Linked DNA regions of Danio rerio. The protein of the gene in region 1 interacts with the protein of each later gene in a biochemical or structural test. Links are inferred from orthologs where the notes say so. Each region holds a gene or a part of one and is shown in the gene's direction. Other genes may lie near its edges.

Region 1 (4,792 bases):
TGCTGTCGTCCATATGTTACTTTTTTCCTTCTTTATGTTACTTCATTTATTCCGTAATGGCGCCTTACAGCCGCATAACTTCTATCCTTGTTTTAGCATGTCCAGAAGTCCAACTTTTAGTTCGATGGTTAGCATCTTCCTTTTGAGTGCCTTTGATGGTGCTGAATGTTTCGTCAACATTTGTGGGGTTTGTTGGGGAGAAATACTCCAAACATACAGTACAGCACTTAAGAGTCACACTGCTAGTGATCAAAGATTTATGTACATTTGGCAAGCTGAACGCATTCTTTACTGTACAGGAGACACGGCATGGAGAAGATTGATTGACAATGGTCTAAATACATCTGTCATAGGGTGCAGAACACAATGCACCAATCAGGACGCAGAACACACTGAAAACATCAGTGAAACTACAAGGCTGCGAAAATGTGAACCGCATCATAGCGAGGGACCACTGTATTTTTACATTAATTAATGCTTGCTAACATCTAATGCTTGAAATAATATTTAACTGTTGCATAATTGAAGTTTTAAAGATCAACTCTTTGGCAAATCTCAAATGCAATCCGTTTGTTCATTTATATATGTTTTTATATTATAAGGGTGTAACACCTAAATTCCCTTGAAACCTTTAAAATGGCTTACACTCAACTTATATGAACCAAAAATGTAACAATCAGATCACTAATGACTTCAGTTATGATTATAGGAGGCTTGTTTTGGTAAACACATTATTTCTTTTTACAGGTATATGACATTCCTCCATCTGTCAGCAAAGACGTTCCAGATGGTCCAATCAGGGAGGAAACGTACGACGTTCCTCCTCATTTTGCCAAGATGAAGAGCCTGGAGAATCAGAACCAAGCCTATCTGTCTCAGATCCCTGGCGGTCCCGAGCCTCCCATACCAGAGGATGTCTATGATGTTCCTCCTCCTCAGCTAATAGGAAAACGACAGCCTGAGGGCCAGGAGATCTACGACATCCCTGCCAGCCTGCGAAAAGGTGGCCCACAGGACCACCACCCCACAGATGTGTACGACTTCCCTCGTGAGCGCCCAGCAGGCGAAGATTCAGGCGATTACGTGTATGATGTGCCTCCACAGGTGGTCCGTGATGCAGCGGCCACCGAGGAGCTCACGGTCAGCTTCAAACGGCTGTCAGCGTCCAGCACTGGAAGCACTCGCAGTAATCTCTCCACGTCCTCTTTAGACATGGTGCCAGTGCGGGAATCTTCTGGGCCAGGTCGCTTGCTGCTCCTGGATCTGGACCAGGCTATGGAGCGTCTGTCCCGTCATCAACAGGCTGTGGAGAGCTCCGTTTCTCTCCTCATGTCGTTCATCAGTGGAAACTGGCGCAGCTCCACTCAGATGGAGTCCAACCTCCCTGCCATCCGACAGGCCGTGGACCGCATCCGTGTGGCAGTCAGGGACCTGCTGGAATTCGCTAGAGGTGCTGTAGCCAATGCCACCCAGGCCACCGACCGCACACTGCAGACCAAGCTTGGCAAGCAGGTGCAGAAGATGGAGGAGGCCTTCCAAGGTCTGGTGAGGTACAGTCAGGCACTGGACACTTTGGGCTGGTCCCCTGCAGCCCTGATGACATCTCAGCCAGGCACAGGTGGGGATGACCTGGACCGGCTGATCATGTGTGCACGTGGTGTACCTGATGACACCAAGCAGTTAGCATCGTTTCTCCATGGCAATGCCTCTTTGCTCTTCAAACGGACAAACAAGCAGCAGCAGCTTCCTTTGCCACCTGTTCCTCATACCGGTGACTCGCTGACCAATAATAACAACATCTCAGCCTATCAGTCAGGGACACCAGAAAGGGCCAACATCCAGTCCCGTCCATTACCCTCCCCTCCCAAATTCTCAGCCGAGGAGGAGGCTCCAGATAGGCCGTATGAGACAACAGAGGAGGGTTGGATGGAGGACTACGACTATGTCCATTTACAGGTATGCTAAATACAAAAATCTTCAGATTGGTTTTCTAGTTGTATGTTCTCATTGGTCTGCATGCCATCCTTATATGGGCTCTGCCTGTAATCCCCACTGTGTCAAGCCTCAGGCCTTTAATCAATCACCTTGATTGCATGTGCAGACCTGCTTTTCCTTAAAGCCCACATACATCTTCCTTTAGCACCAGCTGTTGCCTGTCATTGTGTCAAAACTTCCACGGAAACTGTGCAGATAAATGACCACAGTTTAGTCATAGGGGCATTTTTTAGTCTTTCAGGCTTTCTGTGTAACTGATATTTTCCTTTAAAAAAAAAAAAAAAACTTATTTATTTTATATGCTCAAGGCAGATTACTTCATCACCTAAAACATTTATTTTTTATTGATTTTTGTTTCATTTGAAACCTCCACTTGGGTTAAAAATCAGAGGAGGTATGTTTAATTAAGAGTCTGACTTCTGTAATCTTTTCAACAGCCAAAAATGGCTGTGTTGAGTTTCACTGTAATGTTATGCTGCCCCCCTGTGGAGTGAAAAGAAGCGTTTCAGCACACACTGTGAAAAATATGGTGGAAACATTCCAGTTGTGACTAATAGTGAAGGTTTATCTTTTTAATATGAATCAGTGCACAGATAATTAACAAAAACCTTTGCTCGTTTGATAGAAAACAAATTGTGGCCTACCTTTTTGGATTTAAAAAGCTTTACAATTAGTCGACCCAGTATCCATTCATTCATAAAGTAATTTTTTTTTTCTATTTTAGGGTAAAGAAGAGTTTGAGAAGAACCAAAGACAGCTGTTGGAAAAAGGGAGCATCAAACAAAATAAGACTCAGCTTGAACAGCAACAGGTATGCGAGACTATAACACCTTTTATGTTATAATAATACACAACATCATTTTTCATAACGTTAGGACATTCCATTTTTAATCACTTAAACTATATTAGAACATGATTAATTGAAACGTAAATGCCCATAAATATGCCAAGGGGTATAAATACAGCTGATTTAGAGTTTAATGAAAAAATAACATATTTAATGATGCTCACTTGTTAAGCCACTTAAATTTTACATTATACTAATTTTTAAAAACCTTATGCTAATTTTGCTAAGCTTTGACTTATTATTACTACACTGTAAAATTTATATGATCAATTAGTCCTGACAGCATGTTTTAGGTTATTGTAAAATATTAAACTTATTAAAAAGTTTAAAAGTTAAAAAGCTGTTTTAAGTCAGTTTAACATAATAGTTCAATGGACTCAAAAGGCTCATTTGATTCAGCTTAAAAATTTAAGGCAACCAGGATTTTTTACACTGTTTTGTTTGAATTTAAATATACTTTTTTTGTATGTATACATGTAATTTATTTACAGCGTTGGGCAAGCTGCTTGAAAATTGTAGTGACCTAAGCTATTAGCCACTCTCCCTAAAATGTAGCTTAACTACACGAAAAGCTACCGCCTGGGAAATGGCACAAACTAAGCTAAAAGCTACTTGGCAAAAGTAGATTAACTACATCTAAGCTATTTTTGCAATTTTAATTTTTAAATCGAAGCAACTTAAATCTAAGTCAGTCATACCTCAGTGATTAATAAAACTATCAATGAAACATGAGGCATAATTGTTTAATTCAGTTATTTACTGCAAACTATATTATGTACCAAACAGAAACAAAGTATTAGACCAAAAACAAAAAAATCCAATAAAACTAGGTGTTACACATTTATAATACTACATTATTTATAGTAAAGGGAAATATTTAGGAATATGCATTATATTGTATTTATATTTTTTTATATATATATATATATATATATATATATATATATATATATATATATATATATATATATATATATATATATATATATATAACTATTTATTAATGAATTGCAAAAACATATATACATAATGTTATATTATATGTTTAATAAAAAAGTACCACAATAATTAAAAAATAAAAAGTTAAATAAAAACTACCACAAAAATTTTATTTGAGTACTTCACTGTTTAGTTCAAAAACATTATAGTACTTAATATTACTGAAGTATTTTTAAGCACAGCATCAGAATTAACATTATTGCATCTTAACATGTACTTCTCGAGGTATGGTCACGAGGAATCCTGCTTCAGAAATAACTCCTCTCGTTGTCTTTAGCCTATTTGGTTGGTGACTTTACCATCCTGGGGGTGTTTCTAAAAACCATCGTTAGCCAACTAAGGTCGCAAGTTGTGTCGTTATACACAGTTTGTTGATTTGCCATTTCCCAAATCCATCGTTCCAACGAACCTTCGCAAACTGCGTCGCAAACTTGTATACTTGCAACTACACCTCTGGAGCTGTAGTTAGAAGCAGCTACAGCTCTTCTAATTCTCCAGAATAGGCTTTGTTCTATTCCCAGTTATCCCCCTATACTCTATTCATTTAGAACATTCGAACATTTAAACTTCTAATTATAAAAAAAGTATTAAAGTCATCACTCTTAGGTGTTATTTACTTTCATTGTATTTTTACAGTTCAGTTTTAGCGATATTCATGTTTACAACTGACCACCCTTCGCAGTGCATTTTGAAAACATTGGTGTCATTTTGAACACAGCCGTTGCTTATGACGAAAGCTATAGGTGACCTATTATTTAAAAGTGGAATTGAGGCTACATCTCCAAAGCTTGTGAAAGCAAAAAACACAGCATACAATAATGCTTTTAATTTATAGTAGGTTATTTATTAAGTATCTGTACTGTATATGACATGGGCCTGTTGATTAGAACATTTCTGCAGTGGTTTGCATGTCAAATTGTAAACTTTTCAAAAAAAAATTAAAATAATTAA
Region 2 (5,452 bases), on another chromosome or scaffold:
ATGTTTCCCAGAGATAGGTTGTGGCTGGAAGGGCATCCGCTGCGTAAAAACTTGCTGGATAAGTTGGCGGTTCATTCCACTGTTGTGACCCCGGATTAATAAAGGGACTAAGCCGACAAGAAAATGAATGAATGTATTCGCAAATAAAAAGCAAGTTCACAAACTAGTTAATTAGTTTTGATTTGTGATTAGATTTTAATATTTGCATGTGCAGAACTGGAGAAAAATTCCACTATTCATTGGGGCCCCTGGTTTAGAAAATAAGTAATAATATTAAAATCTTAATGGATACAGACAGATTTTACAACATATTATAGAAAAATGTGAAAATAGCTAGGATGATTAATAAAGGCTTCTTGGCATTGGTCGGGGCCTCCTATTTTCTCGAGGTCCTAAGCGGTTGCTTACCTCACTTTTTGGTTAAGTCTGCTCCTGGTTGCATGTAAGAGCTCTTCTTTATTAAAGAAAATGTAATGTATTGGACATAATGCTTGTAAGACGACTTACATAAAGTTGCTGTTTTATTTTTGTATTTAAGGTTCTGTATTATTATGTCTCTGCATATGTATCCTGAATGTTTTTCACCTCTAATAATCATTATCTGTATAGGAATGCAATTATCAATGTTAACATATTCAGGACTGTAAATTACTCAAGTAAAGGCACAATCCCACCAAGATAATTCATATACATAAGTGGTAGTAAAGTTAACTTTATTGTCCTTGACAGGAAATTTGTTATGGTCATCACCATATTGCTGCAGACATTCCATAAAACAAACAATAAAAATAATGCAAAATACAGTAGTTTTAATATTACAATGCTAATTAAGATAAACTCTTGTTAAATAAACCCACTGAAATGGGTACAAAGGATTTCTTATACAAACAATGTTTAAACGCAGGCTGCTGTTGTCCTAATACTTTGCCATTATAGTTGTTGGTGGTCTTTTTTTAATTCTATATTTAAAAAGGTCTATAGGTTATACTGCAACTAAATACATTCTGGTGTAGCTAGAATGAGTAAAATGAGATGTAGAATGAATACCCTCAATTATTAACTGAATTTACACAAAAAAAATGCAATTTAACTTTAATGTTTTACTGATTTAGAAAAGTAAATTCGGCTTGTGCACATTTTCTTCAGTTTCTTCCACCGATAAATGTTTAAATTCATTAGGCACCAACATATCATAAATTTATCAAAAAGTTGAACATGTGAAGCTAATATATATAACTCCCCGTGTAAACAACAGGTATCCAGATAGGATGTGATCCAAGCTTGCCTTCCAAAATGTAAGCAAAAATACAGCACTTTAAAGCTTTTACTCACGCTAGGCTCTGTCAGTGCCCTGTGTGTCTCATTATCGCGGTTCAGAGAGTTTGAAATGCAGCCCCTCTGAACGCCACTCATTTCATTCTTCCTTTTAAGTAACAGGCGCTCGGGGCGTTCGTGACGGGCGATCAGACAGACCGTGAGCGCGCGCAGATCCGCCCTCCAGACGCCATTTCTCGGACGGTGTGGGGAGCTGAAGCAGCCTTTACACCAATCCCGAGAAGGAAAGGAGGACATAGAAAACAGAATTTTTAAGAAAGGTCTTCTCGCTCGTACTGTAGCGTGAAAGACGCGCGCGTCAGAAAAAAGAGCGCCGTGCAAGGCGGGAAACTTTATGTTTCTAGATTTTTCACAATTCGTTGTTTGTGAAGACGTGTTGCGGGCCGCCATTTTTGTTACAGCTCTCTAAGTCTGCTTGGAGTCAAAATTAGAGACACAACTCTTTCGTGCTTTGGGGCAGAACGCAAAGAAGAACTCGTTTTTGGAAGCAACTGACGTACGTCGGCTTGAATTGTCATGCTGAGCGATTTAGTAACATATTATGGCGCTGTTTGGCTCCTCTTGAGCGGACGGTGACTGAAGACGGCTAGCTCAGCTAACGCGTTATATTGTCTCATAAGCTGCAGCTACTTTCACGGAAGAGAGAGCGGAAAGGGGAACTTTGATTCCAAATACGTGTATTTGAGCTCGCTCTGAACTTTTGGGGTTATTTACACCTCTCCTAAAACCGCCGCGAATCTTGTGTTGGTGGAAAATTTAGCAATGCATCAAAGTTGGTTGACGCTAGTCGCAGCCTGTCTGGTCAAACGTCAGGTTGCGGTTCAGTAGGACTGACGGGTCTAGAAGTGCTAGGTCGCTTGTAAGAATAAGCATTTGTTGTTTTAATTTATTGCTCGTTTTGCTTTTTTTCACCCGTGTTCGTCAGTTACAAGTGTATTTCGAATAAACATGTCGTCTGCACGGTTCGACTCCTCAGACCGAGCCAGCTGGTATTTCGGGCCGGTTTCGAGACAGGAGGCGCAGAATAGGCTACAGGGACAGAGACACGGGATGTTTTTAGTGCGAGATTCGTCCACTTGTCCTGGTGATTATGTACTTTCAGTGTCCGAAAACTCCAAAGTTTCGCACTATATCATCAACTCTTTGCCAAGCAAGAGATTCAAGATAGGCGATCAAGAGTTTGATAATCTACCCGGCCTTTTGGAGTTCTATAAAATACATTATTTGGATACGACCACCCTGATAGAACCAGCACCAAGGTAAGAGTTTTTTTCATTTACTTTTGACATCGTCACATCATCCACCCCTCTTCTCAATAATGTTCTTTTCCCTCCCCTTCTCTTCTGTGGCAAGCCGTTTAAACATTCGAAGTAACCAGGATCTGTTTTTATTGACTCATTTTTGTCATCGTTACTTGCTAGACTATATTTTTAAGTTGCATTAGTTACCAGTTATTACTCATCTATTTTGTACGTTTTCTGTTGCAACAATACTCCAATACCCAGTAGTGTATTGTGTAAGTAACCTGTAATTGCAACGGAAACTAAATTTCAAATCTTTGCAAGTTGAAGCTTTTTGGATGTTTCTGGAAATGCTTTCAGTTTTACTTTTAATTTGACACTGGCATTTATATTTTAGCTAATAAGTAACACATTGCATGGTTTTATTGTGGTCTGACTACTGTGGTCTGCTAGTAAGGTTATTTTTGAGCTATCATAATAATTTTTTTTTCACAAAGTGGCAAGTAAAAAAAAGTTGTTACAAGATAAATATTGCTAGTTACAACTAGTAAAACTGGAAAGACAGCAGTTTGTTACTAGCATAATTTTCTTAGTGACTGTCCTCTAAAAATTTGACTCTACTAGTCCATTAAAATCATGTTTTTTTGTATAGCCAATTCAATTATAAAGCAGAATTTTTTATATTTTGATGTTGTAATTAAAACGTATTATCAGAGATAATTTGACAGAGATTCGGCTTAGTTATGATTAAATATTATTTTGCTAAATATTACAACTTATGATTGTAATGAATGAATCATTTGGAAACTTTGTACATCTGTCAAAAATGGACGTCATCTGCAAGTCTTTATAAGTTGATAGTAATGTAAAAGTATTGATTAGTTTTGGCTTACTTGCTAGACAAAAAGTATCATTAGTTGGCAAAAATGCAATCTCAATAATTATTTTCCATATTGACAATATGAGCAATTCCATGCAAATGTCAACCTTGCTATGAATTTTTTTTATGTTTTTTACCAAAATAGCTAAATTCTTTTTTTGTGTGTGTGTGTGTGTGTGTGTGTGTGTGTGTGTGTGTGTGTGTGTGTAGGCTTGTATTTTACTGGACTGAAAAATCAATTATATTTAATTTATCAAAGTCGCACAAGTAGCAATTTTACATCCGTCACATCCATAGCAGAGAGACGTCACATCCATAACTAACTTAACTTTTTTTTTCAATAAATACAAAAATGTAAAATAAAATCAAGATTTTTTTTGTTCTATAGAGAGCCAACTCTCATCCTTTTAATTAGCATTATTTCATTTGAGTTTTGCTGTTTTAATTCACATAATTTCTTCAAAGTATGCTGTATACTGTAACTTGCAGACTTTTTTGGTCATATCCATAACGCATGTTTATTTTCCTCATTTAAAGTATGAAAAATGTTTACAGATTGATATTTTTTAGATCCCTTAACTTGGTGGTTAGTTGTTTTTGATTGTTAAAATATACTTTTTTCTGTGAATTTATGTTTTGAGTTTTTGTAAATGTTATATCTATAATGCTGAAATTGCTCATATTTCGATGCAAGTTGTTAATGCTTCCAGATGTAAAAGTGTATGCCAACAATGACTGAAGTCACAAAAATTAGAGGGACCATTAAATGGCATAATATATGTTTGGCCGATAAATTTTTGGTGGCCGAACATTGGGTGCATCTCCAATACCAACACACTTTTAGATACCCATTGTTGCACATTTCTGCTGTGTAATTAGGTCAATATCAAGTAAAAAATTTCAGAGCTTATCATTGATATAAATTTTCGCGACTCGATATAATACAGTTTATCGGCCCAGAATTAATCATTAGCATAAATTGATTCACTAAGTGTAAGCTATAACTGTTAAAACTGCTTGCCATAGGTTTGGTGGCTGTTTAGTATTACTCTTACAATGAGAGTAATGAATTAAACATCTGTAGTTCCCCTCAATTTTGTTCTGGTTCTTTATAAAATGTTCTTTTTGAGATGTGCAGTAAAGAAAAATTAAGTTATTTCCCTTTAAGATAACAGGAAGTTACTCTGCATGTGAAAGTGCACATCGAGTAGATGATTAAATATTACAAAAGGCCTCCACTAGCGAGAAGCTGATTAAAGTGTTTGCTTTTAGATGGGCTCTTAAATGCTGCTTTTCTAGTTTATAAGTCGATCCTAAATATGATTTGATTGTTGTTCTACAGGTACCCCAGTACTGCTCTGCCCAGTGGTCCTATTCAGCCATCTGGAGGACTGGGTGATGAGAACCAGGAGTATGTGCGGACTCTTTATGACTTCACTGGCAGCGATGCTGAAGACCTTCCTTTCAAGAAGGGTGAAATCCTAATAATTATGGACAAGCCTGAGGAGCAGTGGTGGAGTGCCAAGAACAAAGAAGGCCGAACAGGCATGATTCCTGTTCCCTATGTAGAAAAGCTTGTGAGATCTTCGCCTCATCCTGGTCAGTCCATCCATGGTTCACGGAATTCCAATAGCTATGGCATCCCTGAGCCATCACACGCCTATGCCCAGCCTCAGACTCCATCTCCCATTCCTCCTGGTACACCCGGCGCTGTCATCAACCCGCTACCTTCTGTGCAGAACGGGCCAGTGTTGGCGAAGGCGATCCAGAAACGAGTGCCATGCGCATATGACAAAACTGCTTTAGCACTGGAGGTAAGTGGCTAAATGATCGCTCCCATAAGCCAGTATTTGCATTTGACACCCACTCAGGTATTTGATTGATGAAAGGCAATATGTGCAACCTTATGTGCATTTAAATACATATCTTCATTTTTTTTCTTCCTAAAAACCAAAGTTTATTCAGTCAGCATAGATTTCTACTGGCTTAAATGTTA
Region 3 (5,232 bases), on another chromosome or scaffold:
GGAAACGCAGCAGGACTGAAGCCAAAGAGAAAAGACTCACTGCATGGAATTGTTGTTTGGCTACGCATTGGTTTGTAATACTGATATTCTGTTGTTGCTGCTGGACATGGATTTTAAAGAGATGTGAGATTTCTCTGTTTGTTAGAATAGATCCTTTAACCTCTAAATGATATTAAGATTTCATTTCTATTTATCCACTGATAATAAAATGATAAAGTGTTTAGTATATACCTATATTTAGTGCCTACTTAAAATTTCACATTATTCATATACGCAATTCAAAATAGTTCAAATATGCCTGTAAATTACAGTGTATTGATTAGATTTGTCTTCATGAAAATTAGACATTTTAAAATTAGATTTGTCTTAATTAATTACCCATTATTTTGAATTCACTTAAGTGAAAATACTATAGTGCGTTAACATCATCATAATAGCTTATAGCAGTAGTCTCAAACTCAATTCTGGAGGGCCACAGCTCTGCATAGTTTAGCTTTATCCACCTCCAACTCACACCTGCTTCATAGTCACTGGTAGTCTTGAACACCTTGATTGGTTGAATCAGCTGTGTTTGATTAGGGTTGGAGCAAAACTATGCAGAGTGGTGGCCATCCAGGATTCCAGTTTGAGAACTATGGCTTATATGATCAGTGTTTTTCTAAGCTCCATCTTCAAATTACGGTTTATTAGCCTACATGAATGGTTTAGTAGCCTTTGTAAAGGTGACCAATATGTTTCAATTTATCATGTCATTTCATGGTCAACAGGTAGCCTCAAAATCTCCTGCTGTGTTTCAAAGCCATATCTTTTAGTCAAGTTGTGCCATTACGGAATATATATCGATAAAAGTGCACTGAAGAGCTGTGAACAATGACTTGGTCAGTATTTCTGTACTCCCACAATGATTAATGAACCAAGGGAAATGCAAGGAATGACAAACCGGAACAGCAATATGTGTATGATTATTTGTAAACAAATAAAAATGTATTTGACTGTTGTTGGTATCAAAACCAATAAACCTTTAACAAATATACACTTCATTTATGCGTTACGCGACGAATAATGTTGGTCGTCAATATGTTTGATTAGACCATTTGAGAGCTGAATTGTAACTGGGTGAGACTGGTAGAAAGACTACAAACTATTAGTAATCGATGTCGACATCTAGTGGTTGCTAATTTTGTGGACTCGCTTGTAAAGGACAGTGTTTACGCACTTCCGTTTTTTTTTTTTTTTGTAATAATTTACAGCACTTTCGACCTTTAAATAAATTAGCGAATATGGTTGATGAAAATCATATTTAACTTATGTTTTAAAGGGATGTCTAATTTGTTAAATTTAGTAGACTAACTGTTAGACCACTTACACTATGTTTGTTTGCTCAGGTAATTTCGGGGTCAGCCCGCTTGGACTGGTTAACAACCTGTTTGGACCAGCCACTTGAACCTCTCACTAGAATTTAACAAAACTGTTATGTTTAGCGGAATTTGGGTTAATACAAAGATTAATGCGATGCAAATTGATCAGTATAACTAATGTAAATTCAGAAGTTATAATTGTGTTCATATGAACAATTCCGAAATACGATTACATAAATTAAAAATAAAAAAAACGGTTGGTGTTAAAAAAAGATTGAAACTCCATAATGATACAAGATAAGGCCTTACTTTCAATATTGACCGCACCAATATGACCACCAACAGACACCATCCGCGTCGGCGGCTATTGCATCACTTCCGGGAAATAAGGTCAAAAATTGTTTCCCTTGTCCGCCATTTGAAATATTTGAACTTCCTTGTGACAACTTCCAATGTACGTTTTGGTTTACACTGGACAATTATCAGAAGTTCTGGGTGAATAGCCGCGGTTTTTGCGTCCCATGCACGTTGGAATACCGACGTCAATTGTTTTGTTAATCGATTGGGCCAAAAAGCGTTGAAAAGTGTGCGAATGCTGCGCGTATTCGAAACGTGTTCAACAACGGAACGCGGTAAAGTTTTTGCATGAGTTGAACGCTGCTTGCGGATAAGGAGAGGCGAAGGGAAGGCCTGTGAAGCCTGGGCTTTTTTCTAGCGCTAGTCATGGCCGGAAATTTTGATTCGGAGGACCGAGGGAGCTGGTATTGGGGGAGATTAAGCCGGCAAGAGGCGGTTTCGCTGCTCCAAGGGCAGAGGCATGGAGTGTTCCTGGTGCGGGACTCGATCACTATTCCCGGGGACTACGTGCTGTCTGTGTCGGAGAACTCCAAAGTCTCTCATTACATAATAAACAGCATCAGCAGCAATCGCCAGTCAGGACCAGGTAAGCGTTTGAACAAATGTATTTAAATACTATTAACGACAGGACGGATAAATACTGCTTTAGCAAAGCGCTTAGCAGCTCGATGAAACTTCTATACTACGAATAGTTGTGCATATTCAGTCTAAAATCTCGCGTCATTCTGGGGTGCTGTGTAACCAGGGGTTCGGTCTTGTACACTACGGGCCCCAAATATCATTCTCGGGTGTAAAATGATTTGTATGCTTTCGTGTATGATGCCAGATTTGTTATGTGAAAATTGTATACAAATTCGTTTTATAATATAATATAGGAAACGTTTAGTTGCAATATGTGTCATTATTTAACATAGTTGTTCAATTGTTCACACGTTAGCAGATTCTTTGAAGTATCTTTATTTTATCTACTTACATTTTGCTTCGTTTGAATCGTGTCTTATAATTTTGTGTTCTTGGTTTGTTTATTTGTTTGTTTATATTAATTTGTGCATATTTATCTTGACTAAATGCTCGTTTATTTCAGTTTCACCCTTATTTTAAAACCGCTGCTTCATTACATTCTTACTCCGACATACATGTCTCACCTTATCAACTTTTTATATAACAAATACAATCTTATTAGTTATGTGTCTGTCATTCATTTGAATTACACGCATTATTATAGGTCATGTCAATCACTTATAACATAAACTCACTTTTTTTGTTTGCAGAAATGATCAGCAATATTTAATTTCCAATCTTTTTTGCTGCTTTTCCCATAGGTTGAACCCATAAAATGTTACATTGTTATACTATGTAGTTTTTGCAACACTTATCAGATTTTCATGGATTAGAGAGAGTTCAGTTTAAATGTACACCCCGATAAAAGTTCTAAACCTATATTAGTTTCTCTTTTCTGTTGAACACAAAAGAAGATATTTTGAAGAATGTTGTAATTAAGTAGCCATTTACACCTCCATATTAGAAATAAAATGCCTACCAAATTCCTATGTTCAGTAACTTTTTTTCGTGTTAACATTATGATGAGTAATTGTGAAAAAATTGAATTTTTTGCTGAGCTACCCCTTTAAATTTAAGCAGATCTTGATTATCCATCCATCATCTCATAATGTCATCCCGCAGGGCTTGCTCCTCCTCGGTTCCGGATTGGAGATCAGGAATTTGATGCCTTACCTGCCCTGTTGGAGTTCTACAAAATCCACTACCTGGACACCACCACTCTCATTGAGCCCATTAGCAAATCCAAGCACTCGTCTTTCATCAGCGTCAATGCGGGGACAGGAGGAGCTCCTCCGAGGCTAGAAGAGGAGTACGTCAGAGCTCTCTTCGACTTTCCCGGCAACGACGACGAGGACCTTCCATTTCGAAAGGGTGATGTTCTTCGAGTGCTGGAGAAGCCAGAGGAGCAATGGTGGAATGCTCAGAATTCAGAAGGCCGTGTTGGCATGATCCCTGTGCCCTATGTGGAGAAGTACCGACCTGCCTCACCGACATCAGGTGCACCTGGCGTATCAGTCAGTGGGTCCGGTGCTCACGGCAACTCTGACGGCCACAGCACTCAGTCTCCACCTCTGCTTGGTGAACCGGGCCAATACGCCCAGCCCACATCCTTACCCAATCTACAGAATGGCCCAGTTTATGCCAGGGCGATTCAGAAGAGAGTCCCCAATGCCTATGATAAGACAGCTCTTGCTTTGGAGGTAACAAATGTAAACTTTTCTGAGATATTAATAAATATAAAAATGAAAATATTGCATCATTTATGAACCTTCAAGTTATTCTAGATGTATCCAGTAGTCAGCATTTGAAGTGGATCAAAACCTTCCATCTTAAGTTGTACTAAAATAGTCCTATTTAACAACATCCATTCTTGCCATGATTGTCAGAACTTTATTTGATCTACTTTAAATGTGGACTACTATATGTCCTATTCCTGACAAACACTAATGTGACTTAGCTTTGAATTGCAAGTAAATGTACACAATGTTTGCTTCAAAAAAGCACATTAATGTGTTATAAGTCATTCATACTGCTCAGTGGGTTATTTAATATTTTCTGAAGCAAAGTGTTAAGTTTTTGAAAGAAAAAAAATGCTTATTTAAAAGATTATAAGCTCATATAAACTGGAGCTGCACAATTATTTAAACACAATGTTCATGCACGTCGTTTTGTGAGTAAAAGCCAGCTCTGTGGTCAGTAGTATATCTCCAGCTTTCAAATGGAGCACCATTTACTAGTTACTCATAGTTCATGATCTGTTTGGTAAATGCAGCTACATCTAAAATCAAATAAAGATACCACATTTAACATGTTTTAACTTCCAATTTGTCTTTGAGATAATGTGGCTATTTCTGTTCAATAACTTTGTGTTCACACCAAAGGCGCAAGAGCATCAGAGTTCTCTCTGGCTTTCACAGTTCCAGCGGCGAGAGCGTCAAAAATCGATACATTAACCCCGTATTTAAAGGAGCCGTTGCAGCATATCAGCAAATTAGTTACGTTCCCACATAAAAATGTGTATTTTAGTAAGAAAATGTTGCGCAGCTTTTTAGTAAATTCATTTAACTACAGAAGATCCAGTTGTTGTATGTGCAGTGGCTTTCCTCCACTTATCCAATATGTGTCCAAATGTCTGAAATATTCTGAAGCAGCAGTACGGTTTTGTACTGTCGTTAGTTAGCATGCATTTCCCGTACGAAATAAAATAAAATTAATTAATGCACATCAGTAACTTTAAAAAAAAAAATTTGTATTTAAGTCCCTGTAAAAAAAACATTGCAACTGCAATACTAAAACCCTTGGGAACAACTGTGGTCGGAATCAAAGTTTACAGGACTGTGTTCTCTGGACTCATCTCAAGCGGTGAACTTCTACATTCTGATTGCTTGCCCTCGAACCGTGTCATAGCTTATTGCAGTAAAGTTGACTTGATTTAAACATTCCTCGACGTCAACGA

The links.
Region 2: the proteins of bcar1 (region 1) and crkl interact in a test that uses a peptide from one of them, tested with the Homo sapiens proteins (2 studies listed by BioGRID, with this or other methods). The link is inferred for Danio rerio from reciprocal best matches to the Homo sapiens genes BCAR1 and CRKL.
Region 3: the proteins of bcar1 (region 1) and crk form a complex in vitro, tested with the Homo sapiens proteins (2 studies listed by BioGRID, with this or other methods). The link is inferred for Danio rerio from reciprocal best matches to the Homo sapiens genes BCAR1 and CRK.

The regions. Positions count from the first base shown.
Region 1 is NC_133193.1:24,070,336-24,075,127, forward strand, and holds part of bcar1 (breast cancer anti-estrogen resistance protein 1), read left to right. Parts: intron 1-747; coding exon 748-1,956; intron 1,957-2,719; coding exon 2,720-2,806; intron 2,807-4,792. UniProt on the Homo sapiens protein: Docking protein which plays a central coordinating role for tyrosine kinase-based signaling related to cell adhesion. Implicated in induction of cell migration and cell branching. Involved in the BCAR3-mediated inhibition of TGFB signaling.
Region 2 is NC_133196.1:20,315,260-20,320,711, forward strand, and holds the start of crkl (crk-like protein), read left to right. Parts: upstream 1-1,998; 5' UTR 1,999-2,283; coding exon 2,284-2,594; intron 2,595-4,798; coding exon 4,799-5,270; intron 5,271-5,452. UniProt on the Homo sapiens protein: May mediate the transduction of intracellular signals.
Region 3 is NC_133190.1:27,216,463-27,221,694, forward strand, and holds the start of crk (adapter molecule crk), read left to right. Parts: upstream 1-1,778; 5' UTR 1,779-2,081; coding exon 2,082-2,301; intron 2,302-3,398; coding exon 3,399-3,976; intron 3,977-5,232. UniProt on the Homo sapiens protein: Involved in cell branching and adhesion mediated by BCAR1-CRK-RAPGEF1 signaling and activation of RAP1.